4 linked regions of the Caenorhabditis elegans genome follow. The protein of the gene in region 4 purifies or fractionates together with the protein of the main gene of each other region. This does not show direct contact. Each region holds a gene or a part of one and is shown on either strand. Other genes may lie near its edges.

Region 1 (5,572 bases), on a different chromosome or scaffold from region 4:
AATACTCAAATTCCACTCTTCATTCATTGTTTTGTTCAACTTCTCATTACATATTTCTTTGCCATAATATGCACAATGGTCAGTGAACTTCCAGCTCTGAATATCGAAAGGTTATTGCTTGCCTCTCCACCAAAAACTACACTCAAACCGAGTCCACCAACAGATTCGGAAATTCAATTAAAGCCTTCCGATAAGGCTTAATTTCTAATTGTTTTAATTTTTGACTCAAAAATTCATTTTCATCAGGCACGGGACATTTGAGGTAAATAGTGGGTGATCATTTCCTTGTCAACCCGAATTCATTACGAGTAGTCTCATTCATTTCTTAAATTGTTTCATTTCATTCCGCCATTCACTTTTTCATTTGTTAGCTCCTCTTTCATTTGCTTTACATTTCTTTTAGATTAGTTGAAATTTTTCTGTTCTTCTTTCTTGATGGTCTTTCAGTAATTGATTATTCCCCCGGTCATCGACTGTTTTTCCTTCGCTTCTTCTATTTTTATCATGTAAATAGAAATTCTTGTTTTTTGTTCATTCAAATTAAAACCCATAAAAACATTAAATAAATTTAAAATGTTCATACAAAACGCATACGAAATTACAATAAATCATAAATTAGCATGAAATCACAAATTGATGGATCTACGACTGATGGATCTACTTGCTGAAAATATAAATAATTTGATAAGGAAACGGATCAATTAAATTTTTGACCTTTTCTCTCCAATTGATTTCGACAAAAGTTCCACAACATTTTCGATTTTTGTCGAATTCGAGTTAATTCCAAACGTTCCGATTCTCCAGATTTTACCAACAGTTGCACCAAGTCCTCCAGCAATCTAAAATTAAAACAAGTTACGGTTTTCAAACTTCAAATTGGTGGATTTTCGAATTTACCTCCGTTCCATTTGTCATCATTTTTCCAGCAACATCTTTCCAGTCAACACCCTCCGGTACTTTCACAGTAGTCAAACATGGCAATCTCAATTTCTCATCCACTACAAATGGTTCCAATCCATGCTTTTTCAGAGTAGCATACAACACTTGAGCATTATCTTTATGTCTTTGGATTGATTCATCAATTCCTTCTTTTGCAATTGCAGAAAGTGCTGCACGAAGAGCATATACAGTGGAGATTGGAGCAGTGTGGTGATATCTGAAATTTTTCAATAAATTTCATCATTTCATAGTTTTTTCCAACCTTTTCAATTCTCCATCACAACCCCAATAGTTGCCCAATTCGATGGCATCAAAGTAGAACGAGGCGACGCGTTGTTTTCGGTTCCGGATTTTTTCCCTAAAAATGAAGAGGAATGCAACTATATGTGTTTTGTTTCTTATTCTTACATGGCTCGATCGGAGAATGAGATAGGCGCAAGTCCTGGTGGAGCGTTGAGAACTTTCTGGGTTGCCGAATAGACACAATCAACTTTCAGATCATCTGCTGCAAATGGAGTTCCACCGAGGGACGCCACCTGAAAATGAAAACTTTGATCATTAAACATCTATTTTCAATTTTGAGACTCGTTCGGCAAATTTCAATTTTACTACATTAAAAAACACCTTAAACTTTTCAGAAACAAAACCGTTAATTTTTGAAACATTGTAAGATTTATAAATAAATGGTGAGGATCGAGAAAGTTAAAAAAAACCACAAACCGTATCAACAAGGAACAGAGCACCATGCTCTCTGCAAGCATCTCCAATTGTTTCCAATGGTTGAGCAACTCCCGTTGAACTATCTCCCTGACAGACAAAAACCAAATTTGGTTTGTAATCAGCAATTGCCTTTCTGATATCCTCAACTGGAACTGCTTGCCCCTGCGGAGCAGTAATCTTCTTAACTTCGATTCCCATTCTATCAATTTTTAATTTGTAACAAGAATATTGATTTTAAAAACCTATTAGCCAAATCAGCAGCTCTTTGTCCCCAAAGTCCAATTTCTACTACAAGGAATTTGTCCCCGGGCTCGAGAAGATTAACCATCGCGCATTCCATTCCAGAATGACCTGAATATTAGATTTGATATTGAGAAAGTTGATATATGCACACTAACCAGTTCCACTGACAGCAAACGTATACTTATTGTCGGTTTTGAAGACATACTGAAGACCCAGACGAACATCTGCCATAATCTGAAATTAAAGCTTTATGAATTAGTTTTCGATTTACTATTTTTCCAACAAAACATAAAAAGATACCTGAACAAATTCTGGATGCAAGTGTCCTAACAAATTGCGAGATTGGGTCTCAGCAATCGAATCAGCCATGTTCGATGGTCCTGGTCCAAAAAGTTGCCGCGGTGGGACAACCATATCTTGCAGAAGAGCTTTTGGTGGAGCACGAGACGACATTGATGACTGGAAAAAAAGTAAAATACATAAATACTCGAAGAACATGGTAATCGATTTGGAAGTGATAATTTGAGAATATAATAACTAAAAGGTCGTTCAACACGTGGTTCTCAAAACAAATGTTATTAAAAACAAAACATTAACGAAAAACTGATCTTAAATTTAACTAAAATGTTTTCCATTTCGCAGTACTGACATGGAACTAATATGAAATGCGCTCTATTTGCATGTAGAATGGAGTAGAGACACAGAGAAACCAATTGGTCAAGAGGAGATTGAACGGTGTGTCCAAATGGTCAAGAATTGGTTTGATGTCTAGGGGAGAAGGGTTGAAGGGTCGAATGCCAAACGGCATACTAGATGGTTAGAAATTTTCCATAAATCAAAGTGGGTTTTTTTTTCACCAAATACTGTAAAAATCAAGTACATGATTTTAGAGTTTGAACTCGAAAGACATAATTTTCATGCTGTTAGATAATTTTTTTTAAGGAAAAAACCTTCAAAAACTTTTTTTAATGAACAATGGCATATAAATATAAAATAATTGCAGTAACTAAAAAGATTGTATCAATGAACAGTTTCATCAATGATAACACATATGTTGATGTATGATGACAATAAACTCTCAGAGGCGGTTCCAATTTGTGTACTCAATAAACCTATTATTTTTGAACCAATTGAACTCACCTTAATTCCAAATCCAAAAATCGAGACTGAAGGTCTTAGAAATCGCGTTGAAATCATATCTTCGAAATTAAATCAATTGAGGAAGAATATTGAGGTAGAGAAGAAAACTTGAGGAGGTTGTCCTGCAGGCGGCAAATATCTCTGTGACTCCTCAAAGTACATTGTTCTTTCATTTTCACTGACTGACTGACTGACTGAGGGGCTATTTTATCACAATGTATAAATGACCAGTCGATGGTATAAATGATAACGAGAAGACACCCAGAGATCGGTCAATTTTTAGAGAAGAGTTCAAAGAAACACTTGAAAGTGCACTGGGGAAAACCTCGTGGTTATTTTATAGTTTATGGAAATTGAGTGGAAAACAACACTTTTTTGCAATTTGGTTTGAGCATAATTTTTATGGATAGTTCATTGGCACATTTCCGTTAATCTAGAAAATAACGTTTCAAGATTTAGGAGATCATCCGAAAAAAACTAGTGGAATTTTTTAAATACACAGTTTAAAAATCAGTTAAAATTTTAATAAAGTGCGAACAATAAGCTATAATGGGAACTAAAGTGGTCTAATCAATGACGTGGAATTAGTCAGATGGCTACAAAAAAACATTAAAACATTTTTCAAAATTGTCTACCAAATAATGAAACTAGAAAATTTAAGGACTACCAACTTATCTTACTCAAAACAATACAAATCGAGAAAGATTACCAACTTCAAGAGAGTTTAATTTGAACTTTACCTCGAACAACGAGCAGATCCAGAGAAGTTTAGACTTCGGAATAAATTTTTTTTCTAGTTTCATTTCCATGAAAATAGCATTTCACGTCTACAGAAATTGATACGATGAATAAATTTAGAAATTAATATTTAAAAGTTCATTGGTTTGTGTTAACTTTGGAAAAATAATAAAGCTTTGAGATATTAACTTCTGAACATTTTCAAATTTAGCTTCTACATCTTATTCCTTGAATTTCGCCTAGCTTCGTCTGAAATCTCCTCACATTTTTCTTTACCCAAATCTATAAATGAGTTTTTCAGCCAATTCACTTGTATGCCTGGAGATACCTTGAGAATTCGGAAAGTACTGATTCGTGAAGAACACTTTCCAGATCACACGAGTTTATTGCACATTTTGAAATGTTTTGAACAATTGCACATTTTATTGATAAAAATAAGAAAACTGCTCAGGTTTTTCGAAATCGAGTTGGATTCAATTACAGGTCAACTCAAATTTGTGATGTCTCGTGATCTTTGAAGCTCTCCGGTTTCAGTGTCTGTTTTTGCTGTGAACACTATCTTTCTCTATCTTTTTTTTCTTCAGCTTCATCCTTTGAGCTTTTTCGTCTTCATTTCTTCATCTCCTCCCTCGCTTTTAACTTCTCACACTGGATCACAAGCGTGCCCTTCGATCCCGATCCTCTTGGCCGAATATCTTTACACACCGACTTGATGTCTGCGTCTCACCAATCATTTTGAATGTTTCGAGAGGATAGAGATAGTTGCTCATCGCCCGGGAGTCACAGCTGCCTCTTCCTGCTTCTCCTCCACCTCCTCTACATTCCAAAGCAAAAAGAGTTTGTATTATTGAAGAATCATGTTGTTTCTGCATCATTCTAGATCACTCGTCATATCTAACCACACTTTCAAACTTTCTTGCCCAACGCAAACCATTTTGAAAATGTGTTTCATTTGTTTGCCGAACAAAAATGCATCTAAAGAGCTGCCCCTACCTCTTGATGGATCATGCGAAAAAAAGGCGGGACGTTCAAACTGTTGACTCTTTTCTTTTTTCGTTTATCTTATCTCTCTCTCGTGTTGCTCTTTGTCTCATCTTATTGTAAATTGATTTTCGAAAAATTTCAGATATTCTAATCACATTTTCCAACATTTCAATGGTCGCTGCCACAGAAATGGATGGAGAATCTATAGTTGATATTAAAGTAAGGCATAATTGTAATGATAAAAAACGAGATTTAGAAATTTAAGTTTTTGATTGTGAAAATGAGTAATGAGTAATGAAATTAGGCATTGGAAAATATACTAAATTTTTGCAGTAGTTGCCTACTTAAAACGGCTTTCACACCAAAATTTCTTCAGAAAAGATTTTATAGAATTCGTTTTGTTTTCCAGCATGATCAAATTGAAGATGACGAGACAGAAGAAAAAGAACCTCCTGTAATGAAGTTGGATTTCGAAAAACTATTCAAAATGGCAGAAGATCCAGATCTTGAGGAATTGCTAAGATCACCATTGGATCAGGCTCTAATCAATTTAGAGTAAGATTTATTAATTAAAAAATCAAAATTGATTTTTCGACATTTTGTAAAAAAGGAAATCGTTCATACCATAAAATTTTCAGAGACGGAACTGAAATTCAAAAGCTCACATCAATTCGCACATTTCCTGACATTCTGGACACCTCCGACGGAGAAAAGTGCCTTCTAAAAATGCTACCAGCAATTCAAAAATGTTTGAAAATTGAAAAATCAAACCTAGACCTTCACTGTGAAGCTGCAGTTGTCTATAAGT
Region 2 (4,946 bases), on a different chromosome or scaffold from region 4:
GATAAAATTCAGGTATTCGTCGTCTTGGCAACCATTGTCCCAAATACGGCTTATCGAATATATTTGAATGTGCCACTAATCACAACAAGGATTATCTATTTTCACGCCTCCTCCCCACGGTTTCATCCTTTCATTTTGGAAAATAATACTATCTGAATAAATATTTTCAATTGCCTCGCTACAAAATTAAAAAAAAAATTGAAACACACACACAGTTATGCGCTGTTGAAAAAAAACATTATAACCTCTATTAATAAACGCACCATTATTAATCTTCGGGGGATTTTATTTCTTTTGTGTCCTATGTAAAAATGTATAATTCACAACAAACTTAACCTTTTTCTTTTATTTCTGTACTGAATTATTATTACTACAATTTCAAGATGTGCCGAGGTGAAAAAATACTATTAAAGTGGGGTGTGCAAAACTGAAAAAGGTAATTCTCGATTGGTTCGATTGCCAAAAATTATTAAGTTTCAAACATTTTGCTTGAAACAAGCACAAGTTGTATGTTATGACAAATCTGTAAATTTACCCATTATTAACTCGAGAAGCAAAAGTAATCAAAGTTAAAAAAAAAGATTTTTCAATACTTATACACTTTCTCATTTCAATTGTTCGAAAAGATATTTACTTTCAGTTACTCGTTAGATTTTCCACTTAAAAAAAAACACACAAAAAATTGAAAGGTGTGCAAAAGTCCAATTTTTAAAATTTTGATTTCTTCTCAAATCTCGTGGCATTGAATAATTTTTTTTCTGTACTTCCATAAAATAATTAGTTTGTGAGTGGCTTGCGATTCAGCATTTATCGCCAAAAACAACTTGTTAGACTTCACTTGTTATGCATATCTACATGTAGCCCTGCTTTTTATCCAGCCGACACATCCATATGGAAAAATTGAAGATTTTTTCTGCGTTCACCCACGTTACTTTTAGACTGCAACAATGTGTCCGAGAGATTTTTGAAAAGTCTCATAATGGAATGCACCATTTTCAGACTATTTTTTGTCTCTTTGAGCAACAATTTCGAACGGTTCTTCTTCCTCTAAATAACAGGTTCATCATTTCTCGTGTTATTTCCTGGTTCTGGGTCGTTTTCTTGTTTCTTCAGTCTAGTTCTTTGACCAACGACAATTGACACATGGGTAATTTATTTCTCTTCACTTTTTTCCTCTACTCGAATTGACACAAGACTCGGTGGCTCACGCAAACGCTGGATATTACACAACAATTGTTTTCCGGCCATCGGAGAGTATGGCAAAAAAATGTTGTGAAAAGAAAGAAAGTGGTAGCCGACGAGGATGAGGTTCAAAAGACTCTCATACCGCCATCTGCTATTTCATTGCCGTCGAATGCCATCTGTTCCTGCTCTCATCGGCATCCATCTTTCCCGAAGTTGCCGAACATGCTTTACACAGTTAACCTCTATCGGCCAAAGGCTCACGCAACGTTGTGATGAGCCAGTAGAAAACAGTCAGAAAAAGTGATAAAAAGGGATACGGGATAAGAAGTTACATGAGAAGACAGGAAGATAGAAGGAAGGTTGATCTCCGCGTAATAAAACTTTGAGTTTTTCCGAGTTATTTGAAAATTGAATGATTTGGGGATTTTCTAAAACAAGAGAATTTGGAAAATACATTTTTACAAATTATATTGAAAAGTAGAAAAATAGAACATTTAACTAAAAATTTATAATTTAGACAATATTCAAGTTGAGAAAAATGTTTTTAAAAAATGGTGGATTTTATCAAGATAATTTAATTCTCAATCTAGACATAAACATCAACCTACTTGTGATATTTTTAGCTATGAACATAATCACCAAGCTTTCCAGAGTCTTTTTTTCTATTTTACAAAGTTTATTTCACTGCATTGATTGCGCGAAATCAAAATTGGAATAAACTCCAAAAATACCAGATTAACAAACAAATTATGTATCGTGTCACCAAATAAAAAACTATTGTTGCTGGAATTAAACAAAAATATAATTATTGAAATAGGCTCATACCTATTACAGTTGGTTCGAACGAACACAATGTTTTTTTGGGAGTGTAAACAAACAAAAAGAGCCATTAACGTTAATTTGAATACTGAAAGTATATTTTTGTCAGCAATCGAATAGACATTGTGCAATGGGAATTTGACTGCGTTTTCATTTGCAGGTGTTTCAAAATGTTATATATCAGACAAAAATAAAGTTGCCTTTTTACCTTTTGAAAAGATTTTTGATCAACACATTTTTTAATGCAAAACTTTCATATTATTTTTCTGCGAAAAAAAAACAAATGTCGAAAAAAAATTTGTTGAAAAATAAGCCACACACAAAGATGGAACACATTGAAAACACTCAGCACACATGCGAAGCCTTTAATTAAAATATTTCTTGCACATTCTCAATTATTCGTCATTTTCATTTTTATCTCAAGTCTTTCAATTTTGCAAATTTTAGACTCCAAGTACTAACACCTGATTACTTTAAAAAAATATATATTTTTCTAGTGGTGAATATGGAAATGTGTTTTAAAGTTTGAAATTTTTGAAAACGTGTAGGACGTCAGTTTGAATAGCACATTTTCATAATATTTTTGAATATTTTGATTTTAACTTTTTGAAAAAAAAAACATTTAAATAAAAGATATAGGACAAAAAACTTTTCTGTAAATTAATTAATTTATCTTGGAAAAAATTAGATCTTCAACAAACTTTTACATTTTCCAAATTTGTTTGTTTGTTGATTTTTTTCTAAAGTTAATCAATTAATGCGCAAAAACACTATTTTAAATAAAAGAGGATGGAACTTATTAATTGAATTATTTGCTCCTTACTTGATTGCTGAGATTTCAATCAAGTACATAGTTAGAGTACTGCAAAAATTGTGCCCGAAAGTATATGTTAACTTCTTTATAATTTTTTCATAAAACGCCATATTATGTATTGAGGGTAGTTGTCAACGTGAAACAAAACCACTGCAAAGTACCTACCAAAAATTGTGACAATACTCTCGAGCATCGATGTAACATCTTCTATTGAAAAATTTAATTCGGAAAATTGAGAAAAAACAACCAATTATTAAAAATTAAGTAAAAAAACTTTACATATTGAACAAAAGTTATTTGAAATCTGAATTAATATTAACCGAAAATATTCATTCACATCATGGCAATGCCAAAAGTCCCGAAAAAATTCAGAATCTTCACAATTTTCTAAACACAATCTAGTGAATAGAGTGGTTAACTGCATAAGTTTGAATGGAGTGGTATGTAATACAAACAAGAAATAAAGATACAAAAAATGAGGAGAAGTAAATGGAAACAAAGTTGACAGGTAAGAAAAAATAATTCAATTTAAGTGATCAAGGGAATAATTATTATTCGACAAAAATAATGTTATTCTGTCCGCCCAAACCGTTTGGCACCTGTTGATAGTCGCTCGACGTCGCCCATTCGCCATTGATCATGAATCGGAACTCGTGTCTAAAATTATTACTTGAAATTTGTGTTTTGAATTTGAATGTTGTTACCTTCCACGCGTCAAATTGACCGTGACTCCTTTCTTGCCGCTAACCAGTTTCTCGCATTTCAATGTGCATTTCCAGTTGATAAAACTTCCCTGAAAAATCAAATGAAGACCTATTTGGCAAAAAAAAACTTACCGTCAAGTAAACTTCCTGCTCTGTGTTCGAAATGGTCAACGTTACATTTCTTCCTTCGTTAGCTCCCCCAAAAATGAATGGATTGGCTCCGGCGAATGGCAGGGCTGAGACAAGTGGGATGGATGGGATGGCTCCGGTGAAACATGGCTGGTTACTTCCGCTGCAAATACTTGGAATAGTGATATCAAGAGAACCACTGGTATAACTTACTTGGCAAGGTTCCAAGTTCCTTGGTTGCTTTGGCTAATGGTGAATCCGTCGGTGGGAATGGTCATGGTGCTGGAGTGACTCCTAAATTATTGGAATTTCGATTTCGAATGAAATATTGCTTTGGATGAGGAACACTATATTCACACCGTCAAATACACTGTACACTCGTTTCAATTTTTAAAAATTAAATAAGAAAAACAAAACATAGTTAGTATTGTTTTCAATTCAACTACTCCGCAAATTTCAGAAAAAAAAATATAAAGTGCATTGCTTTCCAGACGTTAAGTTACAAGTAGTTCAATAAAATCTGTATTCCTTACCTCACTTCCTGTATTAACCTAAAAATGAAATATGAAAAAATTCTTTAAAGTTTCCTATCTGTTATTTTGAAAATTTATTCAGTTTTTGATTTTTATAAAGTCCTTTTTTGGGTAATTCTAGAAAGTGATCAAAGATGTTCATGCAATTTTTCGTTTTTATTTTTATGTAATGAAATGATTTACAAGCGCCGTTTTTGATATTTTAAATTCATGAAACATTCAATCTCGTATTGCTCTGACCCCAACTCCAAAGAAAACTCACTGATCATTAAGGCTTTGAATCTTCGAGTTTGCCGTGTCAAGCAAATTTCTCTGTAGGGCAACAGAGGATTCCAACTCGCCGACCTTCCACTTTGCATCGTTCCACCATTGGGAGAGCTCACCGAGACGCCACTCCAGCTTGCTCTTCTCTTCGTTGATCTCCCAGACACGCTTCTCGCTGTCCTTCAGCATTTTTTCAGCGTGTGAGGTGTCTGCTCTGGCCCTGAAAGAAAACCCTAAATTAAAAATTGCTTGTCATTTCAATGCCTTACTTCAATTGTTCAGTGATTCCCTTCAAATATCCGTTCTCCTGTTCCAACTTGCCGACACGTTCGTTCGCGTACCAGTTAGCCTCCTGGAGCTGTTGCTTCTCAGCCTCAGCTTGACGAATTGAATTGTTGGCCAAGCCGAGTTTAACCTCTAGTGCTCTGACGGCGGTACTCTTCACTTCTTCATGAGCGTCGGAGTTGAGTTGATTCTCTAAGAATGTTACCCTAAAAT
Region 3 (4,526 bases), on a different chromosome or scaffold from region 4:
AAAAAAATGTTCAAGACTACAGTACTCTTTAAAGGCGCACACCTCTTTGCAATAAACAAAAATTGTCGTGTCGAGACCAGGAAACGTAGTTTTGGCGCAAAAAGTGCAAAATTGGTCGTATTTTTCAATAAATTATCCAAAATTTTTCGAAATTAGCCAATTTTTAGATAAAAAAAACTCAAAATTTTCGTTTTACAGCTTAAAAATTGCAAAAATACGCGAATTTTTCATCGGAAAAATCGAAAATTTCACTGGATTTTCGATTTTTATTCAAAAATCGATAAAAATTGAAATTTTCGGTCATTTTTTCTGGAAAATTCAATTTTTTCCACCAAAAATCGATAAAAATCAATAATTTTACCTTTCCCGTCGTAATCGGCTCGTTGATATATTGATTACTCATCTGAAAACTGAAAATTTTCCGCAAAAATCTGAAAATCGCCGGCTGAAATATTCACACAGAACAAGTAACTATTGTTTGAAAATATCGATTTTTTGTTATTTGTCGGCAAGAAATTTATTTATATAAATATATATAGGTTTTGAATATCAAAAATACTGGAAAAAAAAGCTGCTACTAATATCTACACTGTAGAGAGGAAAAAGCCAAATTTCAAGCCAAAAAATTCACGAATTCACCCAAATTTTGGATTTTTTTCGGTCAAAATTCCGGGAAAATTGATGAAAATCAGCTAATTTTACAATATAATTTAGAGGAAATCTGGGGGAAAATTGGGGAAAACTAAGGGAAATTCTACAATTTTGAAGCTGAAATTCCGGGAAAAATCAGCTAATTTTACGGCTAAAAATTAGGGGAATCAATGAAAATCAACCAATTTTACGACCAAAATTTAGGGGAATCGGTGAAAAATCAGTGGAAATCCGGAAAAATCTGTGAAATAGGGGGAAATAAATAATAATTTAAGATCTGGCGTTGATAATCTTGACAAAATCGGGTTTCAACGATGCTCCACCGACCAAGAATCCATCGATATCCGGCTTCTTTCCAAGCTCAGCCGCATTGTCAGCAGTCACAGATCCTCCATAAATGATTCTCGTGGCATCGGCGACAGCTGGTGAGACCTTCTCTTTGAGGAATGCACGGATCCATTCATGAACCTCCTGGGCTTGTTCTCCAGAAGCAGTCTTTCCGGTTCCGATGGCCCAAACTGGTTCGTAGGCGATCACAATGTTCTCCCAGCTGACACCCTTGTCGACGATGGCTTGAAGTTGACGGAAGTTTACCTGGAAATTGGAAAATTTGGGTCTCGAAGCGATCGATTTTTGAAATTTATTTTTCTACAACATTAAAAAAAATCTTTATTTATAAGGAATTGGGTATTATTTTTCAGGAATTTTTTGTTTCAAATTTTATCGATTTTTCGAAAATTTTATATTCTTCGGGATTCTTTTTTTTTTTTGAATTTTTCGCGTTTTTGGGAATTTAAATTTGTATTTTTATATAAATTTCACGAAAATTCATTAAAAAATCGGGTCTCGAAGCGATTATTTTTGAACTTTTTTTGTTTTACCACGTGGAATAGGGAATTTAATCGATTTTTCGAAGATTTTTAAATAAAAATGTTTCTTCGGAGATTTTTTTTTGAACTTTTCTGCAAAATTCAAGAAAATTCATAAGAAATCGGGTCTCGAAACGACTATTTCAGGAGTTTTTTCTTTTTTATTGCCGGAACCAATTTTTTTGTTGAAAATTTGGCAAAAAAAAAAAGAATTATTTTTGGCGACCATTTTTTGTTGGAATTTTCCGCTTTTTTGGAAAATGATAAAATTAAATGTTTTCTGTTCAAAATTCACGAAAATTCATAAAAATCGGGTCTCGAAGCGATTATTTCTAATATTCGTTGCAGAAAGAGAAATATTGCGTTTTTTTTGAGGAAAAATTGAGCTCAAAACTATAAAATTCAGGGATTTTTTAAGAAGAAACTTTGAAAAATTCCCGAAAAACGTGCAAATTCGAAACAAAACCATTTTGGAATTTTCAAAAAATCTCAAAAACTTGATTTTTCTACTGAAATATTAGAAGAAATCGATTTTCTACCCGAAAAAATTAAGAAAAAAAATCTGAAAGTTTGAAAATGTTGAATTTTCAAATTTTCTTGCGAAAAATCGATAATTTCCAGTATTTTGCTCCCTTACATCCTTGGTGTGTCCGGCTTCACGCTCCTCGAGCTTCTCCCCAATGCAGAAAACGACCTTAATTCCAGCCTCGAGAGCATGCACGGTCTTCTCAGCGATCAGCTGAAAAAGAAATTTCAGATTAATTTCCCTGAAACTCGAATTTTTTATTGACACTTGGTGTCAGGCTGTCTCATTGCGGTTTGATCTACAAAAAATGCGGGAATTTTTCTGCCAGAAAAATGTGACGTCAGCACACTCTTGCGAAATCAGTGGAAAAGTCTGCGTCTCGAGAAGATCTTTTCCCGAATTTTTCGAAGATCAAATCAAAATGTATTAAACTAACAGCATCGCTTTCTCCAAAGACATGACGACGTTCCGAGTGTCCGAGGATCACCCATTCCAATCCAAGATCCTTGATCATTGCCGGCGAAATTTCCCCGGTGAATGCTCCCTTTGGCACTTTGTAGCAGTTTTGTGCGGCGACAAGCACACCGGCTTTAAGCTTGGATTTAGCGTAGGCCAGATATGGAGCTGGTGGAGCAACGACGACATCAACGGAGGAATTGTCGGCTGAGGCGTTGAGGAAGGTGACGATACCATCGACGGAGGCATAGTCTCCGTTCATCTTCCAGTTTCCTCCGACGAAGAACTTGCGAGTCATCTTGATTCTACAAGAATTATGGAATTTTTTTGTTGGAGGGAAATTTGGATAGAAATTCAGAATAAGGAGGAGAAAACGATAGAAGAATTGCTATTCTTTGTGAAACCGAGAGTATCGATTTTCCCGATTTTCTTGCCCTGTATTCTTTTCAAAAAGTGGCTCAAATTTAATTTTTAAAAATGTCGTCTCGAGACCTGGTATGGCTCAAAAATCGTAATATTTCGCCTCTAGCTAATTTAGTATTGATTGGCAAATGTAAGAAAAGTATATAGTTCAGCAAAAACTTAACTATCTAAAGATGGTCTAGTCGAACGTTTTTTATTGTTTAAGTAGTCTCGAAATAGTCTAAAAACACCGAATTTCATAATGAAACTTCTTGAAAACTCCTCCAAAAAGTTATGGCGGCTCAAAAAATTACCTGAAATTAGTTAAAATTTGAAATTTAACCGACTTTTCAAGCGGCTAACTTTTTTGAAATAACCGTCTAATTTTGGGTATACAAGTTAATTTCTTGTTGCAGTTTCAACTCGATTTTGGTACATTTAAGCTCGATGTATCCCCCAGATGTTACCAAATTTAACCAAATCTGGTGACAAATCGACCTCAAATATACCTAAATCGAGTTGAAAACGCAAGATAATTAACTTATATACCCATAATTAGACGATGATTTCAAAAAGTTAGCATCCAGCCGCTTGACAAGACGGTCAAATTTCAAATTTTAACTAATTTCAGGTCATTTTTTGTACCGCCATAACTTTTTTTGAGAAGTTTTCAAGAATTTTCATTATGAAATTCGGTAATTTCAGATAATTTCGAGTCGAACACAAAAGGAATTTTTGCTGAACTATATACCTTTCTTACATTTGCCAATGAATACTAAATTAGCCAGAGGCGAAATTTTACGATTTTTGAGACACACCCGGTCTCGACACGACAAATTTTCATTAAATTCGAGTCACTTTTCGACAAGAATACTGACAAGAAAATCGTGAAAAGTCGATACTCTAGAGTCTAGGCAAAAATTAAAAATGACGCAAATGACTTTCGAAAATCGTGATCAATAGCCAACGTTTGATAAGGACGAGAGATAACAATGGAAAATCGAATTCGACATTGTTTTTTCGAAACAAATTTCAATCGAAATCAAGACTACACAACAAGTGAGATAGCGGGGTTTCTTCGATTTTATTTTTCTTTTTTTTGGCTGGCCAGCAGCAGCAGTCGAGAGAAACGAGACGATACAGTGTAGACAATGAAGAGACGGAGAGAGAAGGCGCAGTCCGAGTTTGCACGTATTTTGTAATGTTCTGAGTAGTGTGTGTGTGTGAATGGCAGAAGAGTGTTTGTGGATAGATTCGATTGGGAAGGGTTATTACGGGAGCACAAAATTCAGAGAATACGTACTGCACAACATATTTGACGCGCAAAATATCTTGTAGCGAAAACTACAGTAATTCTTAAAATGACTACTGTAGTGCTTATGCCGATTTACGGGGCTCGATTTTCAAAATGGATGCTTAGTTTTAATATTCTATTTATTTCAAAAAATCGAGCCCGTAAATCGACACCAGCGTTACAGTAGTCATTTAAAGAGTTACAGTAGTTTTCGCTACGAGATATTTTACGCGTCAAATATGTTGTGCAATACGCATTCTCATAGTATTTTGTTCCAGTAATATATATTTACAGGAAAATATGTTGGAAAACATCAGAAATTACAATG
Region 4 (4,337 bases):
TGAGGCTGTTGGATGTTGAATCGCCTGAAATTAAATAGTGCTAAACGCTGAATCTGAACAAAACGATCAAACCATTTCGTGAAGCAAGACATTTCCATCCTTCGTCAATTTGATATCCCCAGCTCCAGATACGAGCCTGAAAATGTGATTATAGTCTCAATTATACATTTGATCAGTTTATTCTCACATCTTGAGAGTTCCCTTTGGTCCGAGGTTCGATCTCATGACGTCTTGAAGTCCACGAGCTCCACTAATATTAAGCTCGAGAGCGGCAGCATGCCTAGCTAACTCAGCTTTCGGGTTCAGGCACTGGATTGACGACATACTACCTGAAAACAAGAATTCAACTATGAAATATCTCAGTAAAACCAACAAAAACTAAAAAACGGAGAAATGAGATTGGAAAACGATTCAAGAGGAAAATAGACACGCATAAAAAGGTTCGAGAGCATATTACAATTCAAAAAGGTTCTAAAATGTATTATTACATAACTTTTTAAATAAAAAATAAAGACTTTCAACAGAAATCCTTGAAAAACAATGATTCTCGTTTGAATTTATTCTAGAAAATAAATTCGCTTCTAAAGGCGCACACAATTTCGCAACTGGGTCTCACCACGCAGAGACATTCTACGCTTTTCGGGGAGGATTTACGCGGTGTTTCAAAATTAGGTTTTTCATTATTTACATTGTTCCGCAGTAAAAATGCCCCAATACACCCTTTTCGGGAATAAGACGATGCAAACGATGCGCGGCCGCTGCCAATGCAGCATCAGTTGCTGCAAAAGCAGCTAAGAAGGTAAGCGTTTTTATTTGAAAAAAATTACCGGGAATTCAAATTCTTTGCAAGTTTTTCCAAATTGGGATTTATTTGAAATTGCTCAAAAATGTAATGCATTTTGCTTAATACACTCTACAGTGAAAATAACATTTTAAAACATTTACAATTAAGTTGACACAATAATTCCATGTTGTTAGCTTTCCCGTAGTTAAAAATTGTGCGAGAGATTGAAATTTGTGCGAATATTCGCCTTTTCAACGAAACATATACAAACTAAGTGGATCTGTGTTTTTATTTGAATTTCTGGGAATTAATTTTATCCTGAAGTTATGTATAAGCCGAATAGCTCTTTTTGTGTCGAGCAAGCGACTGCAATTTTCCACAATTTCCATTTCACAAATTTTAGTGGTCACTGCATTGTGTTCTTCTTTATCATGGTTGTCTTCATATCATCATTGATTCGGAAACTAAATATATATCAACCGGCTGCACGCCTTCTTTGCCGCGAATACGCAGAATACTACTATTCCGCAGATCACGACTGAGAAAATGATATTTATGACAAGGGAATGAGTTAATATTAATAATCAAAGAATTATTATAATTATCACGAAGTGGTTTCATATTTTTAATAGTCACGTGACTCGTCATTTCTTCGTTTTTACCTCGGACTGGCATGCCGCATTTTTTTTTTCATGAGCTATGAGCGCATTTTTTGAAAAATGTTTCTGCAATCAGATATATAAAACGTTGCCTGCCATAAAAACACAACTTGTAACCGCTGTAAATCATTAGCCTTGTATCATGTTCCACGTCATAAAATTTACAGCATTCTATAGTCTTATAGATATTGATCTGCAATCTGTCCTTGAATTCCTTGATTAACAATCAATTTCATCTCAGTTTTCGTCGTCATAAACAATCTGCCCGTGTCTCGCTCCGCCCATACATTTCATTCAATCTCCTTCGAACATTTTTCAATTCATTCTTGTTTTTTGACCACTAACCTCTTCGTTTTCTAATACCTTCTGTTTCAAAGCGTCTAACAATAATATATTTTTGTTTCCAGATGAACCGATTGTTGAGCAGTGGAATGTCTGCAGCTACCTTGCAGACCAGAATGGCGTCGCAATTGCTGATCAACGATTCAAAGTACGGATTCCTGAAAGAGCTTGGTCTCACGGAGAACAACGCCGGAGTCTTTCATGGAAAATGGGCGGCGAGTGGACAAGTTGTTCAGTCATTTGCTCCAGCAAATAACTCCCCTATTGCTAATGTAAGTTTCAAAAACATACCCTAAACGTTTTAAAACTTTCAAATTCCAGGTACAAAATGGAAACGTACAAGACTATGAAATCGCCATCTCTGAAGCTAAAAAGGCTTATAACGATTGGTGCGAGGTACCAGCACCACGACGTGGAGAAATCGTCCGTCAAATCGGAGACAAGCTCCGTACGCAGTTGCAAAACCTGGGAAAGCTCGTGTCCCTCGAGATGGGAAAAATTTCTGCCGAAGGAGTTGGAGAAGTTCAAGAATACGTCGATATTTGCGACTACGCTACTGGACTCTCTAGATCACTTGAAGGAAAAATCTTTCCTTCTGAGCGTCCAGGACACGCTCTTCTCGAACAATGGAATCCACTTGGAGTTGTTGGTGTGATTTCGGCTTTCAATTTCCCATGTGCAGTGTATGGATGGAATAACGCTTTAGCTCTTGTCACAGGAAATTCTGTTGTCTGGAAGCCAGCTCCATCCACACCATTGACAGCTATTGCTGTGACCAAGTAAGCTCGCTTATTTCATAATTGTAATCACTAAATAACTATTTTCAGACTTGTCGAGGAGGTTCTTGTTGCCAATAATGTAAATCCAGCTCTCTGTTCCCTTGTCTGTGGAGAGGGTGATGTCGGTCAAGCTCTTGTGAAGGATAAGAGAGTCAATCTAGTTTCATTCACCGGTTCATCAGAAATTGGAAAGATCGTTGGACAACAAGTTCAGGCTCGTTTCGGAAAGCTTCTACTCGAGCTCGGTGGAAACAATGCTATCATTGTTAACGAGGATGCTGATTTGAACATGGTTGTACCGGCAACAGTTTTCGCCGCCGTTGGAACTGCTGGACAGAGATGTACAACCACGAGAAGACTCATTGTTCACGATAAGGTTTACGATCAAGTTCTCGAGAGATTGAAGAAAGCTTATGCTCAATTTGAATCAAGAATCGGATGTCCATTGGATTCCAACACAATTATTGGCCCACTTCACAACCAACAGGCCGTTGGAAAGTACAAGGCTTCAGTTGCCGAAGCAGTTGCTTCTGGAGGAAAGATTGAGTACGGTGGAAAAGTTCTTGAGAGGGATGGAAACTTTGTTCTCCCAACAATTGTCACTGGATTGAAGCACGATTCTCCAGTTGTTCTTCGCGAGACTTTTGCCCCAATTCTCTATGTTCTGAAGTTCTCAACCCTCGAGGAAGCTATTGCAATCAATAATGAAGTTGATCAAGGATTGAGTTCTTCTCTATTTACAACAAATATTCAAAATGTTTTCAAATGGATGGGGTGAGATTTTCTGAAATTGTGAATTTAAAACTAACATTTAATTTTCAGACCAAAAGGAAGTGACTGTGGAATCGTCAATGTCAACATTCCCACATCTGGCGCAGAGATCGGAGGAGCCTTCGGCGGAGAAAAGGAGACCGGTGGAGGTCGCGAATCAGGATCCGACTCCTGGAGGCAGTACATGAGACGATCCACCTGCACGATCAATTACAGCAAGGAACTTCCTTTGGCTCAGGGAATTAAATTCGAATAGCTTAGTTTAGATTTTCTGTAAATATTCATTTCTCATTCAATTTGAGATGTTTTTTTTTCATGCATAATTATTCTCAGTTCCGTTCTAAAATTGCGTGTAATTCAACTCTTGTCCTCTCCTTTTGTGATTTGAATTTTTGTGCCATATCATTCCAAATGCTTAGTTTTTTTTTTAATGTTTGTTCAATAAACTTCCTTTTTTATTCATTCCACAAAATAAAGTGCAACATATTTTCAGCATATATGTCATAAAATTGACGAGACTGGTGAAAAACCGTACGCATACTTGAAAACCGATAAGCTGATTGGTTTCATCACTTTAAGTCATTTCCTAAAACTATAAATTCAATTTCACGCAGATTCTTCTCCGAATCTTCCGCTTGTTTTCTGCCCCAACGCAAGTTTTACTTTTTTTAAATACAATTATTATAATGATGGCATTTTTGTATGTTTAGGTGATGCCTGTTTTATAAATTAAGAGTTTTTTCTAAAAATGTTTTTAAACAACTTTAAACTAATCCACTTAGAAAGTCTGTCAAATTGAATTTTATTGATTGTTTTGGAAACAAACAAACCTCACAATTACAAAAACGCTTTCATTGTAAATATTGACGAATTTATCTCGAATATATTTATTTTTCTCTTAAAATAACTATTTTTACAGCATAAAAAGTGCCCGAAAAATGGCAACTGAAGCTGTCTACGGAAGTTGGGATAGTCCGATCACACCAGATCTCTTCGGAAAAT

Evidence for each region.
Region 1: the proteins of alh-9 (region 4) and agxt-1 fractionate together in Caenorhabditis elegans (co-fractionation; one large-scale study listed by BioGRID). This does not show direct contact.
Region 2: the proteins of alh-9 (region 4) and F46H5.3 fractionate together in Caenorhabditis elegans (co-fractionation; one large-scale study listed by BioGRID). This does not show direct contact.
Region 3: the proteins of alh-9 (region 4) and tpi-1 fractionate together in Caenorhabditis elegans (co-fractionation; one large-scale study listed by BioGRID). This does not show direct contact.

What each region holds. Positions count from the first base shown.
Region 1 is NC_003280.10:8,843,850-8,849,421, reverse strand, and holds agxt-1 (Alanine--glyoxylate aminotransferase), read right to left. Parts: upstream 3,825-5,572; 5' UTR 3,783-3,824; intron 3,193-3,782; 5' UTR 3,100-3,192; coding exon 3,043-3,099; intron 2,362-3,042; coding exon 2,203-2,361; intron 2,137-2,202; coding exon 2,058-2,136; intron 2,011-2,057; coding exon 1,902-2,010; intron 1,859-1,901; coding exon 1,660-1,858; intron 1,476-1,659; coding exon 1,348-1,475; intron 1,298-1,347; coding exon 1,202-1,297; intron 1,157-1,201; coding exon 898-1,156; intron 840-897; coding exon 715-839; intron 665-714; coding exon 658-664; 3' UTR 520-657; downstream 1-519. Other genes in the region: oac-46 (Acyltransferase 3 domain-containing protein), read left to right, coding at 1-201; F46C5.6 (Serine/threonine-protein phosphatase 4 regulatory subunit 4), read left to right, coding at 4,936-4,983, 5,174-5,319, 5,403-5,572.
Region 2 is NC_003284.9:7,235,641-7,240,586, forward strand, and holds the start of F46H5.3 (putative arginine kinase F46H5.3), read right to left. Parts: upstream 3,023-4,946; coding exon 2,984-3,022; intron 1,406-2,983; exon of another isoform or gene 1,262-1,405; intron 1-1,261. Other genes in the region: F46H5.7 (AMPK1_CBM domain-containing protein), read right to left, coding at 3,370-3,475, 3,523-3,611, 3,655-3,814, 3,865-3,945, 4,185-4,202, 4,447-4,668, 4,718-4,939.
Region 3 is NC_003280.10:12,036,333-12,040,858, forward strand, and holds tpi-1 (Triosephosphate isomerase), read right to left. Parts: upstream 2,808-4,526; 5' UTR 2,801-2,807; coding exon 2,483-2,800; intron 2,260-2,482; coding exon 2,158-2,259; intron 1,246-2,157; coding exon 922-1,245; 3' UTR 503-921; downstream 1-502. Other genes in the region: cyn-16 (Spliceosome-associated protein CWC27 homolog), read right to left, coding at 362-403. UniProt on the Caenorhabditis elegans protein: Triosephosphate isomerase is an extremely efficient metabolic enzyme that catalyzes the interconversion between dihydroxyacetone phosphate (DHAP) and D-glyceraldehyde-3-phosphate (G3P) in glycolysis and gluconeogenesis.
Region 4 is NC_003281.10:5,855,359-5,859,695, forward strand, and holds alh-9 (Putative aldehyde dehydrogenase family 7 member A1 homolog), read left to right. Parts: upstream 1-1,850; coding exon 1,851-2,057; intron 2,058-2,106; coding exon 2,107-2,564; intron 2,565-2,612; coding exon 2,613-3,338; intron 3,339-3,386; coding exon 3,387-3,591; 3' UTR 3,592-3,821; downstream 3,822-4,337. Other genes in the region: cct-6 (T-complex protein 1 subunit zeta), read right to left, coding at 1-24, 73-136, 188-324; dpf-4 (Peptidase S9 prolyl oligopeptidase catalytic domain-containing protein), read left to right, coding at 4,274-4,337.